3 linked regions of the Arabidopsis thaliana genome follow. The protein of the gene in region 1 interacts with the protein of each later gene in a pairwise test. Each region holds a gene or a part of one and is shown in the gene's direction. Other genes may lie near its edges.

The links. The genes of interacting proteins can lie anywhere in the genome.
Region 2: the proteins of CYCA3;4 (region 1) and AT1G67580 interact in a protein complementation assay, tested with the Arabidopsis thaliana proteins (one large-scale study listed by BioGRID).
Region 3: the proteins of CYCA3;4 (region 1) and CDKD1;1 interact in a protein complementation assay, tested with the Arabidopsis thaliana proteins (one large-scale study listed by BioGRID).

Annotation. Positions count from the first base shown.
Region 1 is NC_003070.9:17,303,243-17,310,303, forward strand, and holds CYCA3;4 (CYCLIN A3;4), read left to right. Parts: upstream 1-3,334; 5' UTR 3,335-3,509; coding exon 3,510-3,830; intron 3,831-4,102; coding exon 4,103-4,335; intron 4,336-4,429; coding exon 4,430-4,585; intron 4,586-4,685; coding exon 4,686-4,719; intron 4,720-4,809; coding exon 4,810-4,959; intron 4,960-5,041; coding exon 5,042-5,176; intron 5,177-5,261; coding exon 5,262-5,345; 3' UTR 5,346-5,606; downstream 5,607-7,061. Other genes in the region: CYCA3;3 (Cyclin A3;3), read left to right, coding at 434-637, 811-1,043, 1,147-1,299, 1,380-1,563, 1,662-1,796, 1,881-1,955; NRAMP2 (NRAMP metal ion transporter 2), read right to left, coding at 5,801-6,031, 6,247-6,899, 6,988-7,061.
Region 2 is NC_003070.9:25,325,585-25,334,554, reverse strand, and holds AT1G67580 (Protein kinase superfamily protein), read left to right. Parts: upstream 1-3,093; 5' UTR 3,094-3,589; coding exon 3,590-5,304; intron 5,305-5,837; coding exon 5,838-5,973; intron 5,974-6,059; coding exon 6,060-6,148; intron 6,149-6,340; coding exon 6,341-6,452; intron 6,453-6,545; coding exon 6,546-6,652; intron 6,653-6,728; coding exon 6,729-6,828; 3' UTR 6,829-7,273; downstream 7,274-8,970. Other genes in the region: AT1G67590 (Remorin family protein), read left to right, coding at 83-822, 916-997, 1,197-1,418; AT1G67570 (zinc finger CONSTANS-like protein (DUF3537)), read right to left, coding at 7,617-7,759, 7,844-8,162, 8,239-8,670, 8,761-8,970.
Region 3 is NC_003070.9:27,711,870-27,719,117, forward strand, and holds CDKD1;1 (cyclin-dependent kinase D1;1), read left to right. Parts: upstream 1-3,040; 5' UTR 3,041-3,243; coding exon 3,244-3,339; intron 3,340-3,622; coding exon 3,623-3,921; intron 3,922-4,016; coding exon 4,017-4,125; intron 4,126-4,210; coding exon 4,211-4,336; intron 4,337-4,413; coding exon 4,414-4,649; intron 4,650-4,730; coding exon 4,731-5,012; intron 5,013-5,100; coding exon 5,101-5,149; 3' UTR 5,150-5,551; downstream 5,552-7,248. Other genes in the region: AT1G73700 (MATE efflux family protein), read right to left, coding at 5,685-5,744, 5,831-5,917, 6,010-6,128, 6,218-6,456, 6,547-6,603, 6,693-6,779, 6,856-7,248.

The DNA of each region.
Region 1 (7,061 bases):
CTTCACAAGTTGTAGCGTTCTCGTTTAGGCCTAACTCAGCGGAATAAGCAAATCAAATCGAAATTATAATTAGGGTTCTACTTTACAATTTTCTCCAAAGTAAAATTACAAGTTTTAGATTAAAAAAAGATAATTATATGTAATTACTTTTTGAGATTTTTAATCAAGTAAAAAAAGGTAATTTCTCTAAATTAACACGTTTTGGAACGATTTTTTTTTTAATTTCCTTTTTTTAATTACTTGGGATTTCGTGTTCAACAAGTTATTGTTTTGGGCTTTGGTTTAATTTTCCTTTTTTTTTTAGTCTGTCTCATCTCTCATCTGAATTCTGAAACCTGGTTGTTTTAGGATAGAGTCTTCTACTCTATATATAGGACTTAGTGTAAGATTTATTGTTGTTCTTTCGAAGATGTGTTCTTGTTTTTCGATAAATATGGTGTCTAAGAAAGATAAACAGATTCATTCCGACCATAACCCTCAAGATGCTTCCCCGGTAGAGTGGGCGGAAATTCGACATAAGCTACTTGCGTTTCAAGAGAACATTCAATCAGGCTCTGACATTGACGCTAGGTCTGATGATCCACAGATGTGTGGACTTTATGTCTCAGATATCTACGAGTATCTCCGTGAATTAGAGGTACGTAATAAGATCTCCTACTTGCTCTGTTTTTGGACTTAGAACATTGACAAGTTTCAATAGGTCAATTTAGTATACTTTATCTGAAGAGTTTCTATGATTGTTCTCTGTTTGGACTTAGAATTTGTGGATATGTTCTGAAGATTTGTGTTTTTGGTTTGGTGAATATTCAGGTGAAGCCAAAGCTAAGACCTTTACATGATTACATTGAAAAGATTCAAGAAGATATAACACCAAGCAAGAGAGGTGTTTTGGTAGATTGGTTAGTGGAAGTTGCTGAAGAGTTCGAACTCGTGTCTGAAACACTCTATCTCACTGTCTCTTACATTGATAGATTCTTGTCATTAAAGATGGTTAACGAGCACTGGCTTCAGCTTGTGGGAGTTTCTGCAATGTTTATCGCTTCGTAAGTGTTTTTGATCCTCTTGTATTACTCTCTTTGCTATTCATTGTCATGTTGAAACTTACATATGGAGTGGCTTCTCTTTTTTGGCATTTGATATAAATAGGAAGTATGAAGAGAAACGTCGCCCTAAAGTGGAGGATTTTTGTTACATTACGGCTAATACTTATACGAAACAAGATGTGTTGAAGATGGAAGAGGATATACTTCTCGCGCTTGAGTTTGAACTAGGAAGGCCTACGACAAATACTTTTCTAAGGTTAGAATTGTGATGAATAATACTGACTTTTGGTTGTATCTTATGGTTCTTTGTTCTCATCTTTTGTTGTGTTTGTGCAGACGGTTCATAAGGGTTGCACAAGAAGATTTCAAAGTGCCAAACTTGCAGCTAGAGCCTCTTTGTTGCTATCTGTCAGAACTAAGTATGTTAGATTATAGTTGTGTGAAGTTTGTTCCATCTTTGTTGGCTGCTTCTGCTGTCTTTCTCGCTCGATTCATCATCCTTCCTAACCAACATCCTTGGGTAAGAACTTTTGTCTCAATCTCTCTTTTTCAGGTTTATATGTTGAGTTAATCTTTTGAATGAGACACTAATAATCTATGGCTTGTAATGTAAAACAGAGTCAAATGTTGGAAGAATGCACAAAGTACAAAGCGGCTGATCTACAAGTGTGTGTGGAGATCATGCTTGACTTGTACCTGAGCAGAAGTGAAGGTGCTTCAAAAGCTGTTAGAGAGAAATACAAGCAACATAAGGTAATTGACATATTACAAATTATGAAATCATTTGATTTAATTAGTAGTATCATTTATACTTAAATGTTGCTTTTTATGGTACAGTTCCAATACGTTGCGGCAATTCCTGTCTACCAAGAGCTTCCGGTTACCTTTTGGGAGGATGTTGTTACCATTTGATCAGAACCAATCTTTCATTTCCCAATTGTTACTGAGCTCGATTACTAAGGGACACTGATCAACAGTTGAAGCTAGAGGAGTCATATGTTATATGTATCGAAGTGAAGCAGGAGCAAATAATTTGTGTTGTGAAGATGTATTGTGTTATTACTTGATTAACATTGTGGTGACAAATTAATGTGTTACTCTGGAAATTTATACGATTATGCAATATGATAAGAAGTATTTTATGTGACATGATTTTATTTGTTTAATCATTGAGCCTCCTATGACAAAATTTATAAGTTCCTAGAAGGCCAAAACTTTAGTAGTCAATAATTTACTTCAAATGGTATCGAAACCAGATGAATGGGAAGACATGACAAGATAAGCCTTTAGACTTGCTATGATCCTTGACAAAAACAAAACAAAACAGAAATTGTTCATTTAAGTCAATAAAAAGGCAATTTCTACAAGTGAACCCTTATTGGAAAGATTATTTGGTAGAATTGGTCTGGTCATTTCCAACATACGTTTATTAGATAATAACAGATAGGCGGATCATATAAGATAGAGTTGTCAAATCGGGGTGTCCATGTCCATTAGCCCAATCCAATAATGTCTATTTTGATATTGGACGAACATAGTCCGTATCCATTAACACCTTTGTCCAATCCAATAATGTCCATTTTAATATTCGATTTTTCCTCAAATCGATTTAACCTAACATTATAAGACTATTGGGCCGCCCATGTCCATCATATCTACTCTGCTAAAGTTCATATCCGTTAACGACTATAACCATTAAAGCCCGTTTTATAATGGCTTTATCCATGACTCGGTCCATTAAGTATTGGACGCAGGCAGCCCACGGGCCGCACACCCATTTTGACAACTCTAATATAAGATAAGTGTCCGTTGGTGTCAATTATTTTTGTTAAATTAATAGCTGAATTTGTCGAAAAAATTATATAGGAAATGGTGTTAAATGAATTCCTAGTTCAATGATTTTTTTTTATTATTGTTTAGACAAAATATTTTCATATGGTTTAGTGGATTTATTTTTCTGTATCCAAAAAAAAATCAAAAATGTAAAACTAAACCCAAAAAAAGTATAAAAAAAAAACAAATGCAAAACCGATTTTTTTTTAAATTTTTTAAAAGCATCTCACTTAATTCCGAATCTTAACCAAAACCGAAAAAAAAACAAATCAACTACTAATAATTTCCTTAATTAAAAGCATTCATTGATTGTTATTTTCATCTTTAATTAAGTGAATAAAACAATAATGATTGTCTAAATATAGGAGTGAAACTTTTTGAAGGGTAAAAAGGAGAAAACAGCCGCCAAATAAATGTGGAAATGAAATCTGCAAAAAAGCCCCAAATTTTGGATACTCAAAAGTCAAATCCCTAAAAATTTCGAAATCGGAAAATTTACACAGAGAAGCGCCATGACCTAAAAATCTCAAAACTTCCCCAACAAAAATGGCGCTTTTACTCAACCCATTTCCTTTTACCTACCTTGTACATTACCCCTTTTCTCAAATCTCACTTTCCCACTGAAATAACCCCATGGCGGAGAATCAGAACTGTGCGAGGATGACGAGAGCGGCGGCGAAACGAAAAGCGTCGTCCATGGCGTTAGACGAAAACCCAGTTAGTAAGAAGAGAGTTGTTCTCGGAGAGCTTCCGAATATGTCCAATGTCGTTGCTGTACCCAATCAAGAAAGAGAGACCCTTAAGGCTAAAACAAGTGTTAATACCTCGAAGAGGCAGATGAAGAAGGCTTTGATGATTCCTGAAGCTAGCGTACTAATCGAATCGAGATCTGTTGATCCTCAGATGTGTGAGCCTTTTGCTAGTGATATTTGTGCTTATCTCCGTGAAATGGAGGTAAAAAAAAAATCATCTTTAGTAGATTTCTTGATTCCATCATTTTTGATCTTAGTGATCTTATGGTATCAGTTTATGTTATTTTGGAATTGGTACAGTGTTGGACTTGATATTGATTAATGGGTTTGGTTAAAGTTGTGGATTTGATAAGTTTCTGAGATTTTGTCCAATCACAGCTTGCTCTTATGGTTATATGATATGTTTGGAGAAATTAGAGATGATTGATACTTTGGGACTAATGGTTATTGTTTTTGGATTGGTAAAATTTTCAGGGGAAGCCGAAACATAGACCACTACCTGATTATATTGAAAAGGTTCAGAGTGATTTAACTCCACACATGAGAGCGGTTTTGGTGGATTGGTTAGTGGAGGTTGCTGAGGAGTACAAGCTTGTTTCGGATACGCTTTATCTCACTATCTCCTATGTTGATAGATTCTTGTCTGTGAAGCCTATTAACAGGCAGAAGCTTCAGCTTGTGGGAGTTTCTGCAATGCTTATTGCGTCGTAAGCATCTTAATCCTCTTTGTTTATTGTTGTGTTGGTGTGAAGAGTCTTAGATGGTTGGCTTATGGAATCTTTATTTTTGCTTTTAAAAAAGTAGGAAATATGAAGAGATAGGTCCTCCTAAAGTTGAAGATTTTTGTTACATTACGGATAATACATTTACTAAACAAGAAGTGGTGTCGATGGAGGCGGATATACTTCTTGCTCTGCAGTTTGAATTAGGAAGCCCAACCATCAAAACATTCCTAAGGTTCGACTCTGAAACAGTCTGGTGTTTAAACTTATGATTTCATGGTTTTACTTGCCCTTGTTTTGATTGTTATTCTCTTTTTTATGTCGTGTTTGTGCAGACGGTTTACACGGGTTGCACAAGAAGATTTCAAAGTAAGCTCAAAATCGATGTACCTGTAAACTGTGGCATTTGCATCTCATAATTTCTATTGTTAAATCTTCTTTTTTTTCATGCCTTTGCAGGACTCACAATTGCAGATAGAGTTCCTTTGTTGCTATCTATCAGAATTGAGTATGTTAGATTACACCTGTGTGAAGTATTTGCCATCTCTTTTGTCTGCTTCAGCTGTATTTCTTGCCCGGTTCATCATCCGTCCAAAACAACATCCTTGGGTAAGCAAATTAAGAACCATGACAGGTTCTTATACAGAAAAAGTTCTTTATATTCTAAATCCTCTTCTGGTGATGCAAACAGAATCAAATGCTAGAAGAATACACAAAGTACAAAGCAGCTGATCTACAAGTGTGCGTGGGTATCATACATGACTTGTATCTAAGCAGAAGAGGAAACACTCTAGAAGCTGTTAGAAATAAGTACAAGCAACACAAGGTAAATTCAACAATTCAATGATGTAACTTTAAACTTGTGATATATTGCAACAAGAACATTCTAATATCTGATTCTCTTGGTACAGTACAAGTGCGTTGCGACCATGCCTGTTTCACCGGAGCTACCTCTTGCTTTCTTTGAAGATATTACCATTAGAGGAATGGCGTAAAAGAAGCTTGAAGCTTATGTATTGGAAGTGTTAGTTACCTGAATTTTGGGTTGTATATATCTGTTAGAATGGCAGATTAGTATTGAGTATTATCTCTTTTAGCGTATGTTCAATGATTTTTGCTAACACTAGTTAAGAAACTTTTTTTTTTTTGCTTGACCATTTTTTCAATGGTTTATTAGATTTTTATTGATTTGTTTTCTGCTTTTTTCTATGATGTAAAAGCCTCTTTAAATCATATTGGAATGTGCACATCCTCTTAACAAAAACAAAAAAGTACAACAAAGACTTTGCCACTACATATTTGTGATGTTAACATTCACAAAAAGCTAAGCTAACTCTTATCACCACTTTGGCGTTTCAATATGTATAAGACTATAGTGGATGAAGTTTGTTTACTGTATCTTCTTGACATGTAACAAATGGTCTTGAGGGCAGTTATTTTTGTGCAGCTACTAGCTATTGGAGACGGACACTCTTTTGGGAAGTTCTATGGAAGAGGATGACCAAGGAGAAGGAAAAAAGTTGCTGTGTGAAATGAGGTACACTATAAAGGCGATATAAGCAGTCGTCCAGACGCAGACCGTAACTCCAAACAGAAACCCGTCGACTTCTGATACAAAGAAATCCAACAGAAGATACCCATTGATGATCATTACAAGTGCAGCCACAGTCCAAGCTATTCTCTGCAATGTAATCAATAAATCCAATCAACTTACAAATACTCACTCTTCATGCTTCTCTATTCCATTGAAGGACTTTCAATTCTACATGTTTACTAAGATAATTGCACAAACAGTGAAACTAAAAAAGTCGAGACACCTAAAACGATAAGACTCAACACTAATTCACCTATTGTGGTATCCTATGGAGACTTGTAGTAAAAGAAGTGGAAATTTACCTGGAGAATAGGCCCAATCTTGAAGTCTCCCATAATTTCTTCTTTGGATACCAAGGTTAGAAGAGGGAGAAGAGCAAAAGGAATTTGTACAGACTGAAGGACATTGAGCCATTCATTCAAAACATCCAAGGAAGCTTCAGAAGTATTGAACACGATTGCCACAATCATTGTAGGCACAATAGCACAGCTTCTTGTTATTACTGCCCTCATCCATTTCTTAAGCCGGAGATTCAGAAAACCGCCCATTATAAACTGTCCAGCATATGTACCAGTTATCGTACTGCTTTGTCCGGCTGCTAACAACCCGATACCCCAGATATAAAGAATCGGAAGAAGCCCGCCTCCAAACTTTTCTTGAAGATACTGACCAGCATTAACTAGGCCAATGTTATTAGCTTTCTCAGTTCCATAAAACCCCTTTGCAAAGACAGTAGTCACAAACAAGTTAATCATGAAGGAGATGAAAAGTGCGACGGATGACTCGATCAAATAGTAATTAAGCGCTTCTTGAACCCGGGATTTCCTCTTCGGATCGATTTTCCTCGATTGTACAAGAGCCGAATGCAAAAACACATTGTGAGGCATTATAACACAGCCAACAACACCTACAGCTTGCCTAATTGTCTTTGAGCTAAGTCTCGGTAGTAAAATACCTATCCATAAACACAAAGATTTGATTTTTAAGCACTCAAATCAAAGCAAATAAAGTGAAATTCAAGAGTAAAAATCTGAAATCTTTACCTATCATAAGTTCTTTCCCACTCGGTTTTGTTTCACCAAACATCCAAGCAAAGGACAAACCCATAGTTGCGATC
Region 2 (8,970 bases), 8.0 Mb from region 1:
TTTATCCTTCTAAGTCATTTCTCTATCTATCCATATAGATAAAAACCTTCTAATAGATCTCTGTGTCATTTTATTCGTAAGAATGAGATCTAGTGTAGAAGATAACAAAGGATGGATAGGACCAGCGACACCGGAGATATCGAACGGTTTTGAGTTTCAGAAAGGTTCGAACCGGACACCAAACCATCACCGGTCTACTATGGGGAAGCCAGCGCCGTCAAAATGGGACGATGCTCAGAAATGGCTTTCTGGTGTAGGGTTTGCTCGTGGAGGTGGTGGAGGTGGTGACAAGAGTAGTCATCACTCAAGAAGTAATAAGCCGAGAAACTCGAACGCGGATGATCTTAGACTTATAGCTTCAGCTTCACAGAGAGAACGTGAAGGAGAAGATCAGTACGTTGAGTATGATGATGAAGAGATGGCGGCGGGAAGACCGGAGGTTGAGACGAAGAATGTTGATTGTGGTGAATCTGTTTGGAGGAAAGAAAGTAGTATTAATCCAACGGCTGTGATTAGATCCGTTTGTGTGAGAGATATGGGGACTGAGATGACTCCTATTGGTAGTCAAGAGCCTTCTAGAACAGCTACACCGGTGCGAGCTACTACACCGGTTGGGAGGAGTCCTGTGACTTCACCGGTGAGGGCTTCACAACGTGGTGAGGCGGTGGGGGTTGTGATGGAGACGGTGACGGAGGTTAGGAGGGTAGAGAGTAATAATAGTGAGAAGGTTAATGGTTTTGTGGAGAGTAAGAAGGCTATGAGTGCTATGGAAGCTCGAGCCATGGCTTGGGATGAAGCAGAACGTGCTAAATTCATGGCTAGGTGATTAACGTTAATTGGTTAAATTTATGGTTGATTTTAATATGTGTTAATGTGATTCGTGTTTGAGAGTTTTTTTTTTTTGTGTGGAATTAGGTATAAGAGAGAGGAAGTGAAGATACAAGCTTGGGAGAATCACGAGAAGAGAAAGGCTGAGATGGAGATGAAGAAAATGGAGGTAAGATGTTCTGTCTAATTGTGGAAAGAGAGTTGTCAACACGTGTTCAATCCGAATTTCGGTTCAGTCTTTTTTTAGTTTTTTAAAAGACAAAGTAGTGTGGATTGGTTTGATATGGATTGGATCTATTAATTGTTAAAGAGAAAAATAACGTTATGGATTGAAAAGGTTTTAAAACAATGTGTGAACGTGTGTTTAGGTGAAGGCGGAGAGGATGAAAGCAAGGGCAGAGGAGAAGTTGGCCAACAAGCTAGCTGCGACGAAAAGGATAGCGGAAGAGAGGAGGGCGAATGCGGAGGCTAAGTTAAACGAAAAGGCGGTGAAGACATCGGAGAAAGCTGATTATATAAGGAGGAGTGGTCACTTGCCTTCTTCTTTTTCTTTCTCCTTTAAGCTTCCCTCTCGTTGTTGGTGTCAATAATTGTCTATTTTCATTAGAATGTAATCGTATGGATTTAGTGATATTCAATAACTAACGCAAAAAAAAAAAAAAAAGTTTTGTTTGGGGAAGTAGATAAAAGAAATTGAGCCAAGAACTCTCAAAGTTAATCAAGGTCCCACGAGTGGCCAACTATCCGCACTTTAATTGCTAACTTCACTTAAAACTATGTCGCTAACCTTTTAATTGACACAAACACATTTGGGGAAACTCATAATCTTTGATGTGACCGGTAAAGCAAAAGTTTTGGGCTTTTTACCAGATGTCTGATCTCGCATTTGGCCCGACCCCGCAATTTTGGGCTTCTAAGATAAGGTCAGGCCCGGCTTTAAGGCACAATGTAAGCCCAGCAGTTCAAAGGTTGATCCGACATTAATTTGGTAACGGAGGAATCTCAACTTAAATGATAAGCATTTACGATCCGAGCTGACGACTCGTAACGTGCGAAGTTAATGAGGCGAGATCCGCGGCGTGAAGTCAGCGAATCATTTAACTCGTTTGATTCGATGTATTTGTATAAATAAGAGTCAATTGACATTGTAAAAGGGGATACACATTGTACTGAAACTATACTGAAATACATAAATACTTTTCACTTGATCACTGTTCGTCTAACAAGATTTAAGACCTTCACGAAACAACCACAAAATTCTAATTGCGGATTACGACATCCACACAAATCAAATAAAGATAATCTCAGATATGATGGAATAGTACTAGTACTTGATAGTGATTTTGATTGTCAAATTTTGTAAAGAGCAAAAAAATTGAAGTCTAGAATGAAAGATGACTCATATGTTTCGACCAAGCTAGTCATGAACACAAACAAGAAGAGAAATGATTAGTTCGTGATTGAGAGATTATGAATATTCATAATGTTCTAAAACGGTTTATGTGGTCCCCTAAACATTATGCAGCCACAAACCGTGACAATCATTTTTTCGGACATTGAAATTAGACATTTTAGTTTTGACTGGCCTTCGGCAATATTAGGTACATAATTATCAAAGTTAACATGACTCCAAAAATTAACATATGTTTTTTGATTTAAATGATTTGATGGTAATATTAAGGTTTTCATGTCTTAGAGCAATTTTATTTGTGGTTTCTAGATATAAGTTTCTTAACATTAAAACAACAAAAATAATATTATCTAACTATGTGAGTTTCTTGAATAGTTAAGAAATTCTCTCCAAAATTTCCTATATAAGGTATTTTAGAGATGACTTTTTCACTAATCAAAAAGCCCACACATTCTTTTATAATAAATTTTCTTTCTTTAAAATAAAAGACTTATGTTTAGAAATCATCAATGAGATTGTTCTTATGTTCCAAGTGCTCCAACATCGACTTTCAAGATAATAGTCTTTGTGGTTAAGATGACAATAATTCGATTAATTTTGGGTGTGAGTCGTGTGACTATCCCACGAAAATAAAATTGTTTTGCCAATTTGATGGTAAAATCTCACGATAAAAACTCAAACAATAACAGCCTACCAAAAAAAAAACTCAAGACCATAACATGTTAAATTTAAATAAATAAATATATTTTTGGTTTCAATAATATTGTCGTAGAAGTTTTAAAATATTTTAGAGATAAAAATAAAAAGAAACACATTGATTAATTACAAAAGTTAGGGGCTCCTTATACCTTTTTTTTTTTCATCAAGGGGCTCCTTATACTAAAACAATAAAATAGAGGGGGCGAATACAAAAACACGATTTTAGAGACCTAAAGCTTTGAGCTTTCGACGAGAAACTTTCTTCTCTCTCTCTCTCTCCGCCATTGTTCGTTCCCTCTCCACGGTAATCTATATCCACCCGTCGTCAATCGGAACTTTACGAACTCCTTATCAATCGTATTTTCACTTTCCAATTCTGAGTTCTCTTCTCGTTTCGTCCTCTCTTCCTCCGTATCCACGGGTCTCGCTTTCGGTTTCTAGGGTTTCGCGGTTCTGATCACAAGTTCTGCTTCAATTGTAAGCGATTTGATCGCAAGTAGCTGTTAAATCGGTGCGTAATTCAACTTTTGAAATCTCAAGGTTTAGTCTCTGCAATTCTGATTTTGAACACAGCTAGCTAGTAGCAGATTTAAGAGTTCGTCAAATTAGGATTTTGGGTTTGTTTGGGTCCCTTTCTCACCGAAGTTCTGTATGGCGGCTGGGAGGAATATAAGATATCCAGACCATGAACTGAGAGACCAGGAATCGAATTCTAGATTTTCCAGGCGGGATAGTGCTTATGCGAACGAGGATTATAATCATGTTAGGAACGGTGCTATTGATAATGGAAAGGGACGGGTTAGTAATCTAAGACACGGGGATAGAGATAGAATTAAGTCTGGAGCTAGACAGGAAGAGAACAAAATGGTTAGTAGTGGGTTTCGGTTATCGAAGAGCAATCCAGGTAGTAGAGAAGTATTTATCGATCTTGGTCCTAAAAGATGCGGGTTTTCAGCTAGGTCTGTGGACAGGGAACCAGGCGAGCTCTCTAGTGAGAGTGGGTCGGATGATTTGATTGAGTCGGAATCACTGGCGAAAGTTAATGGAGTTGTGAAGGAGGTAGAGAATAGAGCTCAAAGTCCTGTGGAAAAGAAGAGAAAGTTTTCACCAATAGTATGGGATAGGGATGACCATGAGAGAAGTAATTTGAGCAGAAATGAAAAACCTGTGGAGGTCACTCCTCTTCCTCCCCCACCACCACTAGTTAAGAGGTCAAGCCAGTCACCTAGTGTCAGTTGTGGTGGTAATTCTCATTATTCACCTGCAAAGAGTGACATGCATCAAGATCCTGTGGAAGTTGGTGTTTCTGCGGTTTCTATGCCTGCTTTGTCACCTTCGGTAGAGATGTCCTCTTTGTGTGTGGTAGAACAGTCATCAAATGCTGAGCAGGATGACAAACAAGAGCATGCAACACACCTGGAAGAGGATGAAAACATGCCAACACGGCATATATCATCCTCTAGGTGGGCTGCTGGTAATAGTTCTCCAACTGATGAAGTTGAAATAGTAGAAGAAGTTGGGGAAAAGAAAAGGAGGAAGAAACCATTTCCCGTGCAGGGGAGATTTCGCAATACCTCTCAAACACCTGAGGTCGGGGAGTTAGTGAGGGAAGGTTATAGATCATCTGATTCCGATGAAAGGGGGCACCATTCTTTACCGGGAAGCAGAGATGATTTTGAGGAGAGAGATGCTGTTAAGAGTGACAAGATGGAAATAGATGAGGAGGAACACAGAAGAGAAAACTCTGTTGACAGCCTTAGTGAAACAGATTCAGATGACGAATATGTACGGCATGAGACACCTGAACCTGCCAGTACTCCACTGAGAAGTATAAACATGCTCCAGGGTTGTAGAAGTGTTGATGAATTTGAGAGGTTAAATAAGATCGATGAAGGTACTTATGGTGTTGTTTATAGAGCAAAGGATAAGAAGACAGGCGAAATTGTGGCATTGAAGAAGGTGAAGATGGAAAAAGAAAGAGAAGGTTTTCCATTGACTTCTCTTAGGGAAATTAACATCCTCCTTTCTTTTCATCATCCATCAATAGTGGATGTTAAAGAGGTGGTCGTGGGTAGCAGCCTTGATAGCATATTCATGGTGATGGAATACATGGAACATGATCTTAAAGCATTGATGGAGACAATGAAGCAGCGTTTTAGTCAAAGTGAAGTTAAGTGCTTAATGCTTCAACTTTTAGAGGGCGTCAAGTATCTTCACGACAACTGGGTGCTTCATCGAGATTTGAAAACATCTAACCTGCTTTTAAACAATCGGGGTGAGTTGAAGATATGTGACTTTGGTTTGGCTCGGCAATATGGCAGCCCGCTCAAGCCTTATACTCATCTGGTTGTTACGCTTTGGTACAGGTAAAGTGCGTTTTTACCCTATTCTTGTTTATAAAAAAATTAAGTGGTGTTTACATTTACGATTGTTATTTGAATTCTGGTGGACTTTCTTGTTTTTTTTTGGCCATTGTTAGTATAACATTAGGTGCCACGTCTCCTTTCTGGTATAGCTGTACTACACCGTACTCCCTTTTCTATTTCTGCACATTAGGATCAATGATTTTAAAGTCCTGTTTTTAAATGGTGTTCCAAGGTATCTGATATTTGTTCCAATGGCACCACAAACTTGAGTTTTGTGACTGCCTTGGATCCTTATCTTTCCTCTTTGAGAATAGTCTTCATAATATGCCAGCTTAGCCATTAAATACTTAACACTTTTGCGGTATTTGCTTGGACACCACGTACCATGAACCAACGTAATCTGGGCACATTAGGAAATATACGTGCTTCAACTTCCTTGACTTGTTTTGTTCCTTGTGTTGACTCTCCCTTCTTGTTTTAGCAATAATCACTTCCTCCGGGACCAAGCCCAACGACTGCATTTGTTTTTCCAGGGCACCTGAACTTCTCTTGGGAGCAAAACAATATTCTACAGCCATTGACATGTGGTCACTGGGCTGTATCATGGCAGAACTATTAATGAAGGCGCCATTGTTCAATGGGAAAACGGAGTTTGATCAACTTGACAAGGTATTTTAAACATCGGTTTTGATTTGGATCTCCAGCCATCCTGGGACCACATACAGCTTATAAATTACTCCTTCTTTAATTTACAGATTTTCAGAATCCTTGGTACTCCCAATGAATCTATTTGGCCTGGGTTCTCTAAACTACCTGGAGTCAAGGTCAACTTTGTCAAGCATCAGTAAGTATTTATAGTTCCTTTTATTTTCAGTTTATATGGAAGGATAACCTTAGTATATGCTTAAAGTCTCTAATATTGTTCCCAGGCTTTCTAGCTTTAGATGATGTGGTGTGGCTCTCTGACTCATTAGTGGATTTATATTGTTTTCATAGTTGTTATGTCACTCTTCTCACCGCTTACCTGTACTTTTAGGTATAACCTATTACGTAAGAAATTCCCAGCCACTTCGTTCACTGGTGCACCAGTTCTGTCCGATGCTGGGTTTGACTTACTGAACAAGCTCCTAACGTACGATCCTGAAAGGGTAATAGAAAATATATATCTGTTGCATGCATGTTAATCCAGTATGCACCTTAATTGTTCCTTGACTTTTGGATCTCTGTGGCTTCTTCTGCAGAGAATAACTGTTAATGAAGCTCTAAAGCATGATTGGTTCCGCGAAGTCCCTCTGCCAAAATCCAAAGATTTCATGCCTACTTTTCCTGCTCAACATGCCCAAGACAGGTACTGAGGTCTATCTAAACTGAAACGATCAGTGGTTGACTTTAATTCTGTCTCTTACTTTTTCTTCTATGCCTAGGCGTGGGAGGAGAATGGTAAAGAGCCCTGATCCTTTGGAAGAGCAACGTAGGAAGGAATTAACGCAAACCGAACTTGGGTCTGGCGGTCTGTTTGGCTGAAGTACAGCACACCGGTCGAAGATAGCAGTTGGAATACAACCTTGATATTCTCAAATACCTTGGAATTACCACATTTTAGGCGAGGGCTGCTGCTTAAGCGGAGGTTGGAATATTTGTATCTCAGAATATCATTCATGCTTTCTTTATTCACTTTGAGGGTCCGTGGTGATTTGTGAAGATGATTTTCCTCCTTTCGCCACTGAGAATCCTTGCAGGTTTAATGTGTTCACAAGCTAGGCTGGCCAGTTAGTGCTATGGCTTTCTGACAGTGCTTGTTTTGTAAGACAATCTCCAATGTATAGCTCTATATCTTACTCTAAAATAGAGTTGCTTTCTCTCCAATGTATATTTCTATTTTCTAGTCTAAAAAAGAATATTTTTAGAAATATTCTATTTCTATTTATATACTAATACCTTTTAATTATATAATTTACAATTTACTCCATATGTTATAAATTTGCAAATTGCCATAAAATATGATATTATTTATAAAAAATCCAAATGTTCGGACATATTTTGAGAGTGAACAAGTATGGATTTTACAAAAACGACGAGTCCAACAACAGGATCAAGATCAAGAAACTCCTCCTCCATCTAGTACAATATAGCTTTGTACACTCTTCACGTAACCAAGTTAAGAGAGGCTCGCGGGAAAAAAAAAAAAAAAAAAAGTTAAGAGACGCTCATGTAAGTATATCTTCTCCTATCAATTGAAGAATCTCACTATATGGCAGAAGGTAAAAAAGCTATGCAATAATGCATGATACACCAACCCTTTTTTTTTTTGGTCATTCAGTACCGAAAACTACAGTCTTGCCGAGTACAAAAGTAACTAGAGAGAGCTCAATGAAGAATATTGTGTTTATCAAATGCCTGTCTACTGTCCACCCGAATATCGTTATCCCGCCTGGATTCATCTGCAAATACAACACTGCAACATATCATCTAATTAGCTATCATCATATCTGAGTTTAGCTGTAAAGGTACAAGTAAAAAAGGGCGAAACAAATCTCACCGAAAGCTTGTCGTTTGTGATATGAGGACATGGACATATAAGAAGGAAACTGGTTAGTAACAGGCATCCTCATGTAGTGATCCATTGATTCCACATCACTATCTGAACGGGAAATCGGAAAGGAGATGGGCGGATTCGTGGTAGCCTCCAAATGAACTCCACTAGGAGATGCCCTTATCTGAGTTGAATCTGTAGACGAGCAAGACATCATCGCATGCCATCTACTTGCAACTGATGCTATTGCTTGAGCTCTGTGTGATATTTTTGTTGCTGCGTGTAGACACAAAATGATTCCAACAACTTGGACAACCGCAGAGACCTGAAAACATATCATGTTCCAAGCTTAAGCTCACCACATAAGAACATAACAATCAGTGAATAAGAAGAAGACTTACTGCAAAATCACCACCGTTTATATAAGTGATACGCCCACTATACGCAGTGGTCTGAAAAAGCGTAGTAAACTGGCTAGCTGTGACAACCAGAAACTGTAGAAGCAGAAAGATGCGGAACCTATGGCTTATTTTCGAAAGATAATGACGCAAACGCATATGCTCATAGATGAAAAGAGAGATTTCAGACTCCCCTTCTAAAAGCTTTGCATAATCTTCAAAGTGAATAACTTGCAAGTTACATACTAAATGAAACATAGCACTTGCAGCTAGAAAGATAGTGCTTAAGTAAGTCCACGACAAGATCATAGACAAGAGAATTGCAACAGATAACCATGGCTGGTCATGAGGCACATAATACATTCTGATGATCTCACGAACACCCTTCAAAGCAAAACATGGAAGTGACCAAACTGCAAGCAATCTTACAGAGTTCTGCAACACAATAAGAAAGATACAAACTTTGAAGTAAGTATCATCATCACATTGCAATCTCAAAAACGAAGAGAAAGTAGAATAAATCACCAAGATTTGTTGAATGTATTGAGCTTTGAGACGATCCATTCGACCACTAAGTTGATCAACAAACAAAAACTTTCGAATCCCATGTTTTCTCAAATTATGAGAAACGCAAAGCAGAGAAACACCAGCTAACAACGCCTGCGAAACAACGATGTTGAGCTCGAAACTCTTGTACTGATATCTCTCACACCCTAAACAATGACCTAGCTCCAA
Region 3 (7,248 bases), about 10 Mb from region 1:
TAATGGATATTTTGCTTACAGGGTTTGGTCCAGATCTGCAACAGACCTCTTCTGTCGTAAGAGGAAGATTGACAACTTTATTTTTTCCATGAAGGGTCATAAAAACGAGGCCCAATTTTGAAAACTTCGAAAGTACAATCAAAATAATGAAAATGTCTACATCCCAGTTTAGCAACGAAGGCAAGACCAGCCAAATAAGTTTCTACACATACAACACCAAGAGACCTCATGTTTGAAGACATACTATGTGTCTACAAGATTATCTTATTGTGCTGAAACCATAGACTGAAAGTCTGAAACATCGAAGGCTGGTTGATAGTTCTTATGAAAACTTTTGGACCGGATCGACATGGTGATCTAAGTTTTCGGAATTTTGTTTTTGGGATCAGTTTACCTGTGTTTTTCGGATATTTTTGAGTAAGTTTACTCTTTAAACTAGCACATAACTGTATCTCGATTTCTTTTGGGTTGGAGACTCAAAGTTCGAGACTCACAACTGTAGCACATGTAACTTGTTTATGGAAGTATAACAATATTAAATTTAAAACAAACAAAAATCATAATCTTTTTAGTAAACTAAAAATTGTCGAATTATATGTTTAAAACATCATTTTTTTAAGTGAAATTTGGTTTACATGATGACTCCCTTAAAAGAAATTGTTTAGCTAGGGTTCAGTTTCAATTATTCTGCCTAAAACCATTTCTTTATCAATCAAACTATAATAACAAAATTTGCTGTAGTTTACGTTCGATTTCAAATTATATGGCCAACTCCTACAGGTGATCCGAAAAGACATTCAATTTATTGATATGTGTTATTTTTATATCTTAATCTTAACTTTTATTAACTTTTAATGTTCTTCAAGTTTATAATCTTCATTGTGTAAAGACAGGAATCAAGTACTCGAGTTGACAAATGAATCGTATAAGTTAGTGAATATCTTTGGTCCTTTAAATCCGATCCGATCATCATTTTACATATATGACAGAAAACTATTTTCGCAATTAACTAAAGGACTGTGATTGTAGAACAGGATTTAGTTGTTAGATTAGATATGAGAATAATCATACAAAGATAGTCAGTGCATATGGCAGCAAAGATTGCAAAATTTAAAAGTCTCCAAAGAACCAAGGATCTTCTCATCTACCCGAGGCAGTTGCATAAACCCTAGTTTTTTACAAGAAAAACAAATAACACGCTAAACATTGCTTCGGAATCAAAATAATAACCATATAATTCTCAAATTATAGCGAATAATCCTTACCAAAAAGAAATTATAACGGAAAATTAAAGATGAATCCGAATAAATAATTGTTGAGTAGAAATAAAGAAAAATAAAAAATAGAGAAGGTGAAAGAAGATGTAGAGCTCCCTTCAATCCAAAGAAGAGTAAAAGCCATTAAAGGGCAAGTTAAAGCTCCTGAGATATGCAATCCATATAACCAAATCCTTTTTTACTTTACAAGGATTAGGGCTTATGGGATCCATAGCTTAGCAGCTTTTCTTTACCCTGCTCAACTCATGTTTGAACTTTAAGGAGCTCTACTTCCATCGTCAGATCAAGATCTATCGAAAAACAAAGTATCTTGTCAAATATATTATGGATCTGACATAAGCAAACTGTAAAGACCTTTAACTCTTCATAAAACAATGAGAAAGTTTTGATGAGAACGTGGATTAACAAAAACACCAAAAGAGGTAAATCTCTTACATTAGAGCTATGAAGGAGATATAAAGACAGAACAAAAGAGAGGAGGAACCCTAATTATTAACCCTAAACATACTTAGAGAGAAGGAAAGAGAGAGAGAGAAGAGGCCACGTCATGTTTTGGAAGAAATGATAGATAGAGAGTCGTAATTATAGTGGTTTAGATATTCGTGATAGAAGAATAAAAAGAAAAGAAAAAAAGGAACAGGTGGGTGCATCTGAAAAGACATGGGAAGGGTCTGACATTGTTTGTGTTAGATTCCCTACGCGTCACATGCGTCCTTCTCGGCTTTTGTGCTTCACTCTTTTTTTTTTTGGGTAAAGATAATAAAAATAACAATTATTATCGTTCCTGCCAACTACTAGTCCACTACATTTTTAAGATGTAACTTTGAAAATGAATTTGGCCGACCATTCTTTATTTCTTTTAGAAAATAATGTACAAGTGTTTCCGTTTGGTGACCTAATTCTAAATCATTTGTTAGCCCTAACAACTAGAAATTTCAACACGAAATAGTGAAATAGGTTGATGTACGGTCAGGATTATAAGTCTGATGATGTGGGCACGAAAGCAGGTAATTATTTCTCTGTCTGAGCAGAATCTATTGCTAGATTTATTACAACGAACTTGTCTTATTACCCTCACGAGTCTCGTCTCTTTCACAATTCAATGGCTTATTTTTAAGTGTGTTTTTTTATCCATCGTGTAAGTTTTTTTTTGAGTTGTTTAAATAAAAATTTGTATGATGAAAAATGTTCACTAGCAAAATACTTGACCCTGAAGTATCCTAAATTTTTCTGGTTCATACTCAAATGTTAGGCTTACTTTGTTTTCTTTGGTCACCTAAAAAAAAGTGGACTGATCAGCCTAATTATTTGTGCAAACTTTAATGATTGGGCTGCATCTCTTTCTTATGAGCCCATTATATGGGCCCAGAAGTTAACAGTTGCTTGTCTAACCTTCTCGGAATAGTTATTTGGGCCTTATATTTGGGCTTGATTCCACGCTTCATGAAACGGAAGTTAATCCGGTAGTGTTCTCCTGGTCCATGCTGCGGAAAATATGAGCAAGGTTAATTTGGCAACTTGTTGATGCAGCTTTTTATTTTCTTGGATTTTTTTTTTAATTTCTAAGTATGTTTAGGCAATGTTCCAATATTCATACAGCTAAAAAAATGTTAATATTCACAATCATCTTTTGTTTAACCACTAACTTATAACATTTTAAACCGAAGAATAATTGACGAGTCAATGTTGAGTAAACCGGAACAATTTTGCTTTTCATTTATAAACCTTTAAACGACGTCGTTACGATAGACGCTTCCAGCTTCGTTTTATTTCTAGCTTTAGAGCGTCTCTTTCCTTTTTCGTTTACTTTTCAATATTTTCCCCTAAAAATGTCGATTCCTTCTGTAATTGCTCTAACGGCTACTTTTTCTCCAGAGCATCATAAGATACCTCAACGTTAACGATAACAAATTAATTAAGATCAGTTTCGATCAATTGCTTGTGATCCGATTAGAGAGTTCCGGAGATGGAACAGCCGAAGAAAGTTGCTGATAGGTATCTAAAGCGAGAGGTTCTTGGTCAAGGTACTTATGGAGTCGTCTTCAAAGCTACTGATACAAAGGTGAAGATGATTCCTCTCTCAATTCTTCATATTTTTTGTCGATCCCATCGAAACTAGGGTTCCAATTCTGTCGTGTGTCTTTTGACGTGTCTCTTCCTGGGAACAATTTGGTTAAATCTGATAGCTCTTAGGTTTTAAATCAGCTAAAGTTTCGATCTTTACACTAATATGTGTTCTTAGAAGTCAAAGTTTGCATTTTTATGTTCTTAATGGATTTAAAGTGTGTAGTTTTTGTTTAAGTTTGTATAAGGAAGCTGATTTGTTTTGTTGTGGCAATTTGTAGAATGGAGAAACTGTAGCGATCAAGAAAATAAGACTTGGTAAAGAGAAAGAAGGTGTGAATGTAACAGCTCTTAGAGAAATCAAATTACTTAAAGAGCTTAAGCATCCACATATAATTGAGTTGATTGATGCGTTTCCTCACAAGGAGAATTTGCACATCGTGTTTGAGTTCATGGAGACTGATCTCGAAGCAGTTATCCGAGATCGTAATCTCTATCTTTCGCCTGGTGATGTCAAATCTTACCTCCAAATGATATTGAAAGGTCTTGAATATTGCCATGGCAAATGGGTTCTGCACAGGTACTATCATTGGAACTTAGAAGCAGAACTTGTTCTATCTCTAATAAGGTCTGTTTTGATTTAAACTTATGGATGATCATTCGTATTTGTTTCAGAGATATGAAGCCAAACAACTTGTTGATAGGACCCAATGGACAGCTGAAACTTGCAGATTTTGGGTTAGCACGTATATTTGGTAGCCCAGGTCGTAAGTTTACCCACCAGGTATGCTTTGTTTGTTGTGACAATGCTATTTATGTAGTAGTTCTGCTATCTTTCGTATCTTGATGTCCTTTAGCAATTTTCATAGGTGTTTGCTAGATGGTATAGAGCACCTGAACTTTTGTTTGGTGCAAAACAATATGATGGTGCAGTTGATGTTTGGGCTGCTGGCTGCATTTTTGCTGAACTTCTATTACGCAGACCATTTCTTCAGGTGAACCTCCATTTTGATTGTGTAGTAATCCAGTGCATCTGTCTACTTGTTTATCTAACTTACTTATTCCATTGCAGGGAAACAGTGATATTGATCAATTAAGCAAAATCTTTGCTGCCTTTGGGACTCCAAAAGCAGATCAGTGGCCTGACATGATCTGCCTTCCTGATTATGTAGAGTATCAATTTGTCCCTGCTCCTTCTTTACGTTCTTTACTCCCAACGGTTAGTGAGGATGCTTTAGATTTGTTGTCAAAGATGTTCACCTATGACCCCAAGTCTAGAATATCGATTCAGCAGGCTCTAAAACACAGGTACCTAAAAATCTCCCCTATGGATAATGCATAAGAACAGGTTATTTAGTTTTGTTCTCAAACCTTGATTTCTTTTTAAAGGTACTTCACATCTGCACCTTCACCTACTGACCCTTTAAAGCTCCCAAGACCAGTTTCCAAGCAAGATGCTAAGTCATCTGATAGTAAACTTGAAGCCATTAAAGTGCTGTCACCAGCACATAAGTTTAGAAGAGTGATGCCTGACCGAGGAAAGTCTGGTAATGGTTTCAAGGACCAGAGTGTTGATGTCATGAGACAAGCTAGCCATGATGGACAAGCACCAATGTCTTTAGATTTCACCATCTTAGCTGAGCGGCCACCAAACCGACCAACCATCACCAGGTAAAAACAATTGGTTTTATTACAGTCAGTTCTTGGTCAGCTTAAAAAATGAAAACTTTTGATGAATTCTTGATTTTTGGATTTGCAGTGCAGATAGATCTCATCTGAAGAGGAAACTTGATCTCGAGTTCCTATAGGATATCGCGTAACAGGCTTCTTCTTGACGTCGTTCTTCAGGTTCCTATAGCCTATAGGATCTCTCTTACTGGTTGGTTCCGTTCAGTAATTCCTGAAATTTTTCATATCACAACTAGTGATGACGAATAGTTTGAATCATTCTTTCTGTCTAAAATAAAGAATATAAAGCACAGATGATTAACTAATCATCATGTACACCCTTCATAGAAAAATCTCTGTTTTTGGCCTATGTTTAGAAGAGAGCTCTGATCCCAAACTCATTCTTCGTTCATTTCCAATTTAAAGTCCAGAATTTTTAGTATCGAACACGTTGGTGTATTACATATATGAATTTTTGATCTCATTACACTAATGCTCGATGAGAATGGAAACACATCCAAGGAATTTCAATAACTATGTAACAATGGTAAAGTTTTCTAAAGACCAATGTACGGCCACATCAATTAGAAATTCCCAATAAGTTCATATGGGCATACAAGAATAAAGCACTCATTAAGCTCATTTGCAACTGCTTTTTCCTCAGACGTTTATTGATCATTGGACGTCACCATCTTTGTCATCTGAAGATCCGACTCTGTTCGTAGCTTTCTTTGCCTAATCATGTAAAACAAGAAACAGAATCACATTATGGCAGAGTTATTATACATATAAAACTGAGCCGATCAGTTAAAAGGTTTTACCTCTTTATCCCAGTTTGTGAATATAGTGACTAAGGAAAGACACAACACTTGAACAGACAATGCTGTTACGATTCCCAGCCAAAGCCCCTACAATATGAAAATACCACAAAATAAAAGTTTCTATAAAACTAGTCTTGTGTTTGAACTTGAGAATGAGAAGGAGAGTTTAAGATTATTACCCGACCACCAATGTGGAAATGGAAACCAAGTAACAATCCTAATGGAACTCCAACAAGATAATATGATCCAAGATTCACACATGCTCCAATTTTCTGCCATCCACATCCTCTAGCAACCCCTGCAACCATAAATCAAAACTATTTGACCAGGATTCGAACCGGACATATATAAACAAGGAACCAAAGCCAATCTTCTATCATTCAAAACCTGAGAGTACGCATTGTAAGCCATCAAGGAAGTTTCCACATGCAACAATCGGTATCATTGATGCGGCATATGCGATGATTTTCGGGTCGCTGCTAAAAGCATGACCTAAGATCTTCCGAATCGACAACAAAACTGTTACAACCACAATTCCCTCGGCTACTGCTATGCCTACAATGACATATACAGCCAGTTTTGCCACTTGTGGATTCCCTGCTCCTAACTCGTTTGAGACCCTTATGCTGCAAGTTAACAGAAACACACAAAGTGAGATAGGTTGGTTTGATGAGATTTTTCTTTTTATGAGCTCTTGGATACATTTTGTTACTGACCTTGCAGCGCCACCAAGACCAACCGAAATCTGCCAGATTGTTAGGGAAGTATTTAGACTGAAAAGTTGCAGAAATGAGGTTGATCAAATATAAAGAAGAAGTACACAAACTCTGAGTACCATAAGACAAAGATAACCGAAATCTACCAGATTGAAAGCACCGAAGTTTCTAAAACCGGGTTAGGAAGAAGGCCTGAGGCAAGAACCAGAAGCTCGAAGGACCAAAGCTCCAAACTGTTTCAAACAGAATTTGATTAAAATGCAGATACTGGAACCTGAACAATGCAGCATTTTATGTTTGATGACTTACCAGACCATGACCGCTGAAGGAAAAGCAATTTTAGAGAAATCATAAAGTTCTTGAAAAGCCTCTTTCGAAAACCCGGTCCAACTATGCGAGCAAGAAGGCGAAAACTTGACATAACACGAGAGGAGAATGACGTTGAACCAGTAAGAGACCGAAATAGCAAGAGCAGCTCCTCTGTATCCTAAACCAGTCTTCAACACAAACAACCAACAGAGAAGCAAATGAAGACATGTAGTGATACCAGAGCAGACAAAGACAGGGAACACATTGTTCTGCGCTTGCAAGAACCTGTTGATACATTGAAGCAGTCCGTAGGCGAAGAGGCTCGGGATCATGTATTTAGCGTAGGAGCCAGCAACACTTGCAATGGACTTGTCTTGATGGACCAATACGAGA